2 linked regions of the Xenopus tropicalis genome follow. The protein of the gene in region 2 binds, or shares a complex with, the protein of the main gene of each other region. Links are inferred from orthologs where the notes say so. Each region holds a gene or a part of one and is shown on either strand. Other genes may lie near its edges.

Region 1 (4,271 bases), on a different chromosome or scaffold from region 2:
ACAAAACCCAATACATTCCTAAAACCATTGCTTTGTTTTATTATTATTATTATTATATTTATAAGTGTTGACATATTTCATTTGCCACCAGTGTAACTTTGAGCTCAGCAAAGGGACAGCAAAATTCTCACAATTGCTCCTTCATTGACCGGAGTGGTAATTTCTTTGCAGAGAAATATTGCTTTAATTGTAATTAGCTCAATATCACCCACCTTAGGCTAATGTCCCACAGAGAGATTAGTCGCTGCGATTTTTAAAAAGCGAGTTCCAGCATGAAGTTGCTCGTTTTGTCTCTACATAGAGAAGAATATAAATCGCCAGTACCTAAACCGATGATACTACTTCAAATCGCTTATCGATCCGAATCGCTGACCAATTTTACAAAGAAAGCATTTTCATTCAAAACTATTGGAATAGCTGAAAGTAAAACCTACTGAGCGGGAAGTTGCTGCGATTTTCCCATTGCACGAAATGTAATTGTGGGCAGGGAACTTGGATTTGGGGGAAATAGAATCGCTCTGTTGTTGAAATATCTAGTAACTGCTTATTAGGAAAAGACAAGCGACTTGTCGCTGGAACTCGCTTTTTAAAATTATCAGCGACTAATCTCTCCGGGGGACATTAGCCTTCGGTGGGCACATCAGCTAGGTTGCCAAATGAGTGAATATTATTTTGCATGGACATCACTAATGCTTATATAAGCATGTATAATGTAACTAGTATAAACATATTCAGTCAGACTCGATCATGTCCTAGTTTTATTTATTCATAGAGGTCAATATATGATAATGCAATATGCTTACACATACTATGCAGTATCTTGTTTGAACCAGACTTCCTCTTTAATGCATGAGGCGTGTGAAAACTTACGTTACATGGCTACACCACGGCTCTTCTGAAGAATTAAATAATTGTAAATTTTTCATGTATTTATATGCTTGAATACTTCATTTTGGCAAAAGGCTCCTGTGAGAAAAAGCTGTACTCTGATAGAAAACTTTAAATCTGAAAATGTCGCTAATTAAAAAAAGACTTCCACGATTCGTGCCTTCCGAAGGCATTCTGGGAGTTGTAGTTTACCAGCAACAAAAGGACCGTAGTTCCTGATTTAATTTTTTTGCGGAAACTCGCGCTGTCCCATAATTATTTACATATTTACACTCACGAGCATTAAGCAGAAAGGAGTAAGGCTATTCTAGAGGAGATTATGGCAGAACTACCTAGCCATACCTCTACTTTCTACCCCACCCTTTGTCTCTATGACTATGCCCGCTCCCCCTCCGCCCCCCGGGCAGTGTATGCTGTCTATGGGGGAGGGGAGCAGACAGAGCTCCCGTGTAGAGGTGACATCACCAGAAAGGTGGGTCGCCCATTTAAGATGGGCTGTGGCTTGTTGCCTCTTTAAGAGAAGGCTGTCCCCAGAACAGAGGAAGTGATTGAATGTAACAGTGAGGGAAGAAAGAGGAATATAGCGAAAGAAAGGGAGGCTAGGGTAGGGGAGGAAGGCAGACAAAAATAAGAAGGAAGATAGAAAAAGAGGAGCAAGAGAGGGGTGACAATTTTAGTCGGGGAGTTAGGAACCAGCAAGATAAGAGCAGTGCTGGCACAGAGTTGAGCCCAAGCACCTCTGAGCCCAAGCATGCGGGAGTAGCAGGGAATACACAGGAAGGGTGGGGTGAGGAAGAGGGTTATAGGAAAGGATTTAAAGAAGAAAAGATTAAGAGGAGAGGGGGAATTGCTGGAGGCGAGGGGGCACATTCCTTCCTGCAGGAGGCACAGACTCATATCGCAGCATGAGGTGAGTGGGGGCATGTGTCATGTTCTGTCATGTAGTACTATGCTCTGTCAAGTTCTGTCTTGTATTAAGCACATCTCTGTGCCCCTGTTGCTTTGTTTAATGCCTGTCGGAGTCATTTTATGCAATTTTTTCATTTATCATTAACTGTGTTGGCTGTGTTGTGGGTGTGATGTGTGCCATAGTTCCCTCTAGTGTGTTCTGCTGATGTTATGTGCATTACATATTTGCATTTCCTTCCTATCATACAGCACAGGGCACATCCCATGAGCAGTCGCTTTTATCAGTGTCCTTATCAGTTGCTGGATGTGTCATAGTGACTCACTGCATCCTGATGTCTGGAAGGGCTTTGTCTTTGTTTCTGCTTCTATATATATATGATGGACATACAGTATGATCATGGGCATACAATATGCTGTGTAGATTGGGTTCTGCAACTTCCAGTTCAGGACCAATAGCAGGGCTGTAGCCTATAGTCAATGGGCTTAGTGTATACAACCAAAAAATACACAATATTTAATTGGCTGTTGTTTGTATGAGTGGAGTACTGTAATATGTCCAAGAACTACAAATACATTTAAGGTACAGCAGATTCACACAAAGTAAATTTATTAAGTGCATTTATATAACTAAAAATCAAACAACAGTGTAAAAGCATAACATACCAAATGGTGTAGGGTATGTACCAGGGATGTTAGGTTGAAGACACACAGAGCAGCTTGTAGCAGCTACTTGTCACAGCTACAAAAATAGACAATGCAATGCAATTTACTGATAGTTTTCTCTATGTTTGCTCAGTATTGCCTATAGCAGGGGATTTTCTGGCATTTGGTAGCTGCTACTAAGTAGCTCCGTCTGTCTTTGCCCATGGGAGGTTAATTGCGTCAGCTTGTACACTAACCTATGGTAGCTAAATCAGTGACAAATCGGCCCGTGTGTCTTTGCTCTTATACTCAAGTAGCAGGCTCAGCATGTAGTAGTGGATTTTATTGCAGTGTAGCAATGAAAACTGCATCCATTTTGTATATAAGCTGTGACCTCAAGACCTGTTTGTACTGCTGTAGTTCTCATTAACCTATTGTTCACTGGTTTGCTTTGCTTTCCAGCTGAGCTCATGTGTTTAGGAGTGCTGGGGAACTACATCTTCCATCATCCCCCACTAGCCAAAAGTCTAATATATTGTTGCTCCTAATATAAAACATTTTGGATATTTGGACCATGGTGTGGATTAAATGGACAGCAAATCTACAGAAGTAATCATGTCATAAATTAGTTGATTTGTAGTCACACAGCTGGCTTCAGTGTATATCAGAAGTGAGTGATGGGGTTGCTACAGTGGTACAGATACTCCCAGCCACAAACTTTGGTTAAAGTATGGTGTGGCACATTTCATTTTACTGGTCATATGCTGTAACTCTGGTTCTACTGGAAGTTTCAAATTATACTCTCAGGGCTTAAATTCAACTTCAGTCGAATTTGCCGAATGTGAGCGCTACTGTGCAATATGAGCACTTGCATCCTGTTTACACTACAGGCACTCGGGCTTACTTTAATCAAACATAAGTATTTAGTGTGACCAAACCCTAAAGCTGCCCATGGGTGGGAGAATATTTGGGATATCCAATTGATAATCCAGACATTCAGTTTATGCATTTTTGGTCACCAACTAACTAGATAGATGCACAGATTTCCATCATCCGTTAGGTTGATTGGCCAGAGAGACCATTTCAAAGACACAATATGCAGGGACATTATGCAGTTGGTTGAAAACTAACCAAGTTGCATGAAAGACCCGGTCAAGTTAATTAAAAATTAAAATAAGAAGATAAAAAGGAGAGGTTCTGAACAGAAAGATAAGGAGTAGAAATAAGAAAAACATTAAAAATTAAACAGCACTCTCAATTTGTGTTTAGATTGCTGGGGTCACTAACCCTGGCAACCTGAAAGGATTTTAAGTTGCAGTCTGGAAAGAGGCAGAAAAGTAAGTGAATTTACGCATGGGGCATTTTGTCACCCCTGTAAAATCGTGGGTGACAAATTCCTTCAAAATTTTCTTACGTTGTCATGCATTGAAATCACCATGCAAGTTTGCAGTCCTTCAAAAATGCATCAGACATGCAATAAAACAGCATTTTCCATGTTTTGCCTGCGGGTGACAAAATGCCTTGTGTGTCATTTTACTAAGGCTAATGCCAGACGTGCCGTTTTTACGCTGCATATTTTCTAATTCTCTCAGCGGCTGAAAAACGCACAATATCATCATCCATAGAAATAACTTAAACAGTCTCGATGGAAAACACACTATGCGTAAATACACTAGAAAACGTGTTACCACGGACTTTTTATGCGTTTGCCGAAATACGCTGTTATTTGCACAGCAACCTATTCCTATGTGTACACAAAGGCAGCTGCCAGACCTTGCGGAAATACGCGGCGTTTTTTACTATTTCGCACTATTAGCTCCATGGGAAACGGG
Region 2 (4,049 bases):
GCATCTTCAACCTGTGGCATTCCGGCTGATCATGTACATCATCAATGCTGTTGTTGGCATTATGGGAATTGTAGTTCCAACAGCTTTGGAAACTGACGTGCATGATCCTTAACTAGCTCTTAAATTCTCCAACATCTTTTCCTATGGTTTTTTTTTGCTTCCACCCACTCAGTTTCTATGCAGTATATAAAAACCCATCCTTTATATTCTTCTGCAATGCTCACACTGCGACCTTTCTCCCCCCTCCCCGCGCATTTGTGTGTCTCTGCATGTGTCCTGCCTTCTCCCTGCTCCTCCCCCTCTTTCCCTCCTCCTACCCTTGGCAGAGCAGATATAAATCATATCCATCACCTCCTCCCCTCCCCAAATAAGAGTATTAAAAAAGGTTCTGAAACAAAGGAGCCCTGCAGTGTCCCGCGACTCAAAGAAAAAAAAAGAATTCTGTGTGCCCAAAGCACAGCCAAGCAAAAGGGACTAGGGGTCCTGTCTGCATTAGCCTCACAGGGGGGGGGCAGCAAAGCCAGTGCTATTCACTCAGGCAAGGGGAGCCCATGCAGTGGCCCTCCAGCTGTTACTTCTCCATACCTGACAGTGATCAGCAACAACTGATTCACCTATTATTTTAGAGGATTTATCATAGCAAATGTGATAGACTACTGCGGGTAACTTTTTCAGCTGTATCAGTTAGCTAGCCCCTCAATATTCTGCATTACATCTATTTGAATAGAACCTTTGGTGCAATGTAGCCCACACACCATATACCTGTGTAAAAGCATATCCACATATTGAAGGTTGTCTTTTATCATTATTCTTTATTTATATAGTGCCACCACATTTCTGCAGTGCTTTAGTAATGATTCATCTTTCACATAAATGATTGGCCAAGTGGAGCTTACAATCTAATGTCCTTCTTCACACAGGATCTGATACACTATAGAGATCCTAATAGAACCTCTTGTTAGTGGAGGTTGTAGTCTCATGATGGAGGGGATGCAGGCTGTGAGGACACAAAGTGATCCCTGCATGGAGCTGCAATGGCCAATGCAATGCTGCTCCCTCACGCAGCCCCAGCTACTGCCCGTTAGAACAACGTGGTGGAGGTGTGCCAGTGTCCTTCCGCTGCTGGCGGAGGGATCTGCAAGTGGAGGCATTAGAAGGAGATAGGGGGAGGGGGACTACACCCGGGCGCTGCCCTATTTCCTTGGCTTCTGCTGGCTGTCTGAGCTCAGATTATCTCCGGCCGTGACGGAGCCGCTTCACCCCCCTTCCCCGTTACCGGCTACCCACACCCTATTCCCCCCGCAAGCTCTAGTGAGGAACCGTTATTTTGCAGCGTGACGACCCCCTTTCTACCCGCACTGAAGATGTCCGGCTGGCAGGATTACGTGGATATGCTGATGGCCGATGGCAGCTGCCAGGAGGCCGCCATTGTCGGTTACGTGGACGCCAAGTACGTCTGGGCAACGACTCCGGGGGGCATCTTTCAGATTATAACGGTAAGCGGAATGAGGATGCAGGAGACTGATTGCCGCTATGTGCTGCACCTGCCGCCTGGGGGCGGGACTTGCGTCTAACGGGCTCCGGCTGCACAAAGGGGCCACACGGGACGCGGCTTGTCTGTATCTGTGCCGGTAATTCTGCGCTCCCCTGGGGGGCAATGTGTGTGTATGGTGCTGCCCTACTGCATAGAGTGTGCAGAGCTTTCACTGGAGGCCATTAGTGACCCAGTGCAAGTGGCACCAGGCCCAGTGCTTTACCGCGACACGTCGCATGCGACTTTAGTATGTCAGCAGTATAGCCGTATATATGCATATTGTAATGCACTTATTATTCAGCCAATGTCCCCCGGGGGCACTGGCCTCGCATTGTCTTATTGGATTCACAGGGTTTTTGAGAGGAGGGCAAAAAGGGCATTTGAAGAAGGAACTCTGTATCAGGGTGGCCCTCTGGGGGAAGGAATGGAAATAAAAGTACAATAGACCTGTACTGAGTAATTGTGTTCTCTATATTTGTCTGTGATGTTCAGTCTCGGGTTGTAGTTCAGCAACAACAGAGGCTGGAGATCCCTGATCCATTTACCCACTGCTAACATTGGGGCCTCCTGTATGTTACTATGTATTCCTCTATGGCCAAGGGCCCTCTGTTCTCTAAATGGCAGTGGAAACTTCTATCCTTGTTCAAGGGCTATGGGCACAATCAGTGCAGCTATTTCCTATGGCCATTTTGCCTTTAGGGAAGGTGTGTGCTAAGTGCAGCCCTGTGCTGCTTCTCACTACACCACTGGCTCTTGCTTGATGCTGGGAGTTGTAGGAAAGGTCCATGTGATCTTCCCACTGTTAATCTGCTGCCTCTGGAATGCTAGTCTGTATCTGGGGGAACTCTGAATGAATGTATGTAGTACAGGGAGGAACAGCCTCTGTGCCCCTGGAAGCCTGAAGGTAGTAGCAGGAGGGCCGCAGCATGCCCATCTTTGGTGTAGGGTGAAATGTGTAGGATCAGGCCGGCGTGCCATTGACTCACCACAAGTCGTTTGCATAGCACCCAGCCGCTGTCGTGGATGAGATTTAAAGCACCTGACGTAAGCAGCTTTCGTGAATCCCAGCCCCCGCTTCTCTCTCCATATTCTTCTGCAAGATGGCGTGGTCCCATTGATTTTTTTTTTCTCCTCTGTCTCCCTAACATTTACATTTTTTAGTCTCCCTGCCCGACATCATTGCTGGGTACCTCTACCTTTTTTTCCCCCCTCTCGTAAGCATCGCTGTGTCGTTAAGATTTGTGCTTTAGGGGTGCTGAGATCTAATTGGGTAGCGCAATTAAAAATTCTGCTGCATTCACAATGGCATCCTGCTGAATGGGGGCTACATAATGCCGTCCTTAACTCTCTCATGGCTAGTGTAGAAGCCCAAGAAAGAGCCATTTGTTTTGTGATTTATACATTACAGCCAAATTCAGTCGGTCCTTGTTTAAGGCTTCACATTGCAGTTGCATTTTTATGTCACATATATTTCAAACCCAAGCTGAAGTATTTTGGCACGAAGCCCAAAAACTTTAAAAATCACGCTGGTTGGTGCTGAATGAATCTGCCAGTGTCTGTCATACCATTCCAGTTGTGGCATAGCCGATGAACAATCTGCTGGGCCTTAGAAAGCTCATATTGCACATTGGTGTCTGTATCGGGTTTTAATTGAGAGATTTTTCAAGTCATCAATATAAAGCAGTTATTCCACTTCCTCCTCTGAGAACTTGTGCAGAATAAGTTCTTCTATAGAGCCAACTTTAAATGAGTCAAATACTCAGAAATAATTAACTGTAGTTCGAAGCATTCTTCCAATACACAGTAAATCTTTTATTCATGTAGTTAGTTGGGACTTGTGATTTCTATTGAAAGAATCATTTTTCAGTGCGTTGCTATTTCTTGTCCTTGCTACTTTTACCATTGGAACAATGTAGCAAGTCAGCTCTTCCTTAGCCAAGATTATTATTCCCACTGGGAAATGGAGTCTTGGCTGGAGAAGAGCTGACTCTTGCTACATTGTTTCAGTGGTCCAAGGAGTCAGGACCAGCAGTGCAATAAATAGCAAGTGACAGGCTGTTTTTAATAGCCATTGCAATTCCATTTAACTGAAGATTTGAATTATTTTAATGTAAATTTGAGAGTTGGTGAACTTTTTCACTTTGCAATTTGTTAGTATTTGGCTGACATTTCCTTTTAATATCAGACTGCAAGATTGTGACATTAATTTGAGTGACAAATTTAGAGCAATAGTCTGATTAATACATCATCAGTCTGGTTAATAATACACTGATGTCTCATTTGGGTAAGAGTGTCTCAACTGGGGCTGAGCAGCAGCTATTGAACTGTAGCTCCTTGCATTGCTAATAGCAGAGATTTCAGGATCAGCAATACCCAGGGGCTGTGGGTGATACGCTACCTTTATTGATCACTTATGATTTATCTCTATGTAAGTACATCTGGAGAAGGGTTAATCACTGGCACGGCCACTGGTAATTTAGGATGATATCACAGAACAGAGTAGAATGTTAGCCCT

Evidence for each region.
Region 1: the proteins of pfn2 (region 2) and vasp are in contact, whole or in part, in a crystal structure (PDB 2V8C), measured with the Mus musculus proteins. The link is inferred for Xenopus tropicalis from reciprocal best matches to the Homo sapiens genes PFN2 and VASP. Residues at the interface, in NP_062283.1 of Mus musculus: Gly3, Trp4, Ser6, Tyr7, Asn10, Cys13, Tyr30, Trp32, Met131, Tyr134, Ser138, Phe140; in NP_033525.2 of Mus musculus: Gly165, Pro166, Pro167, Pro168, Pro169, Pro170, Gly171, Pro172, Pro173, Pro174, Pro175, Pro176.

What each region holds. Positions count from the first base shown.
Region 1 is NC_030684.2:70,581,004-70,585,274, reverse strand, and holds the start of vasp (vasodilator-stimulated phosphoprotein), read left to right. Parts: upstream 1-1,471; 5' UTR 1,472-1,793; coding exon 1,794-1,798; intron 1,799-4,271. UniProt on the Homo sapiens protein: Ena/VASP proteins are actin-associated proteins involved in a range of processes dependent on cytoskeleton remodeling and cell polarity such as axon guidance, lamellipodial and filopodial dynamics, platelet activation and cell migration.
Region 2 is NC_030681.2:118,615,007-118,619,055, forward strand, and holds the start of pfn2 (profilin-2), read left to right. Parts: upstream 1-1,249; 5' UTR 1,250-1,364; coding exon 1,365-1,496; intron 1,497-4,049. UniProt on the Homo sapiens protein: Binds to actin and affects the structure of the cytoskeleton. At high concentrations, profilin prevents the polymerization of actin, whereas it enhances it at low concentrations. By binding to PIP2, it inhibits the formation of IP3 and DG.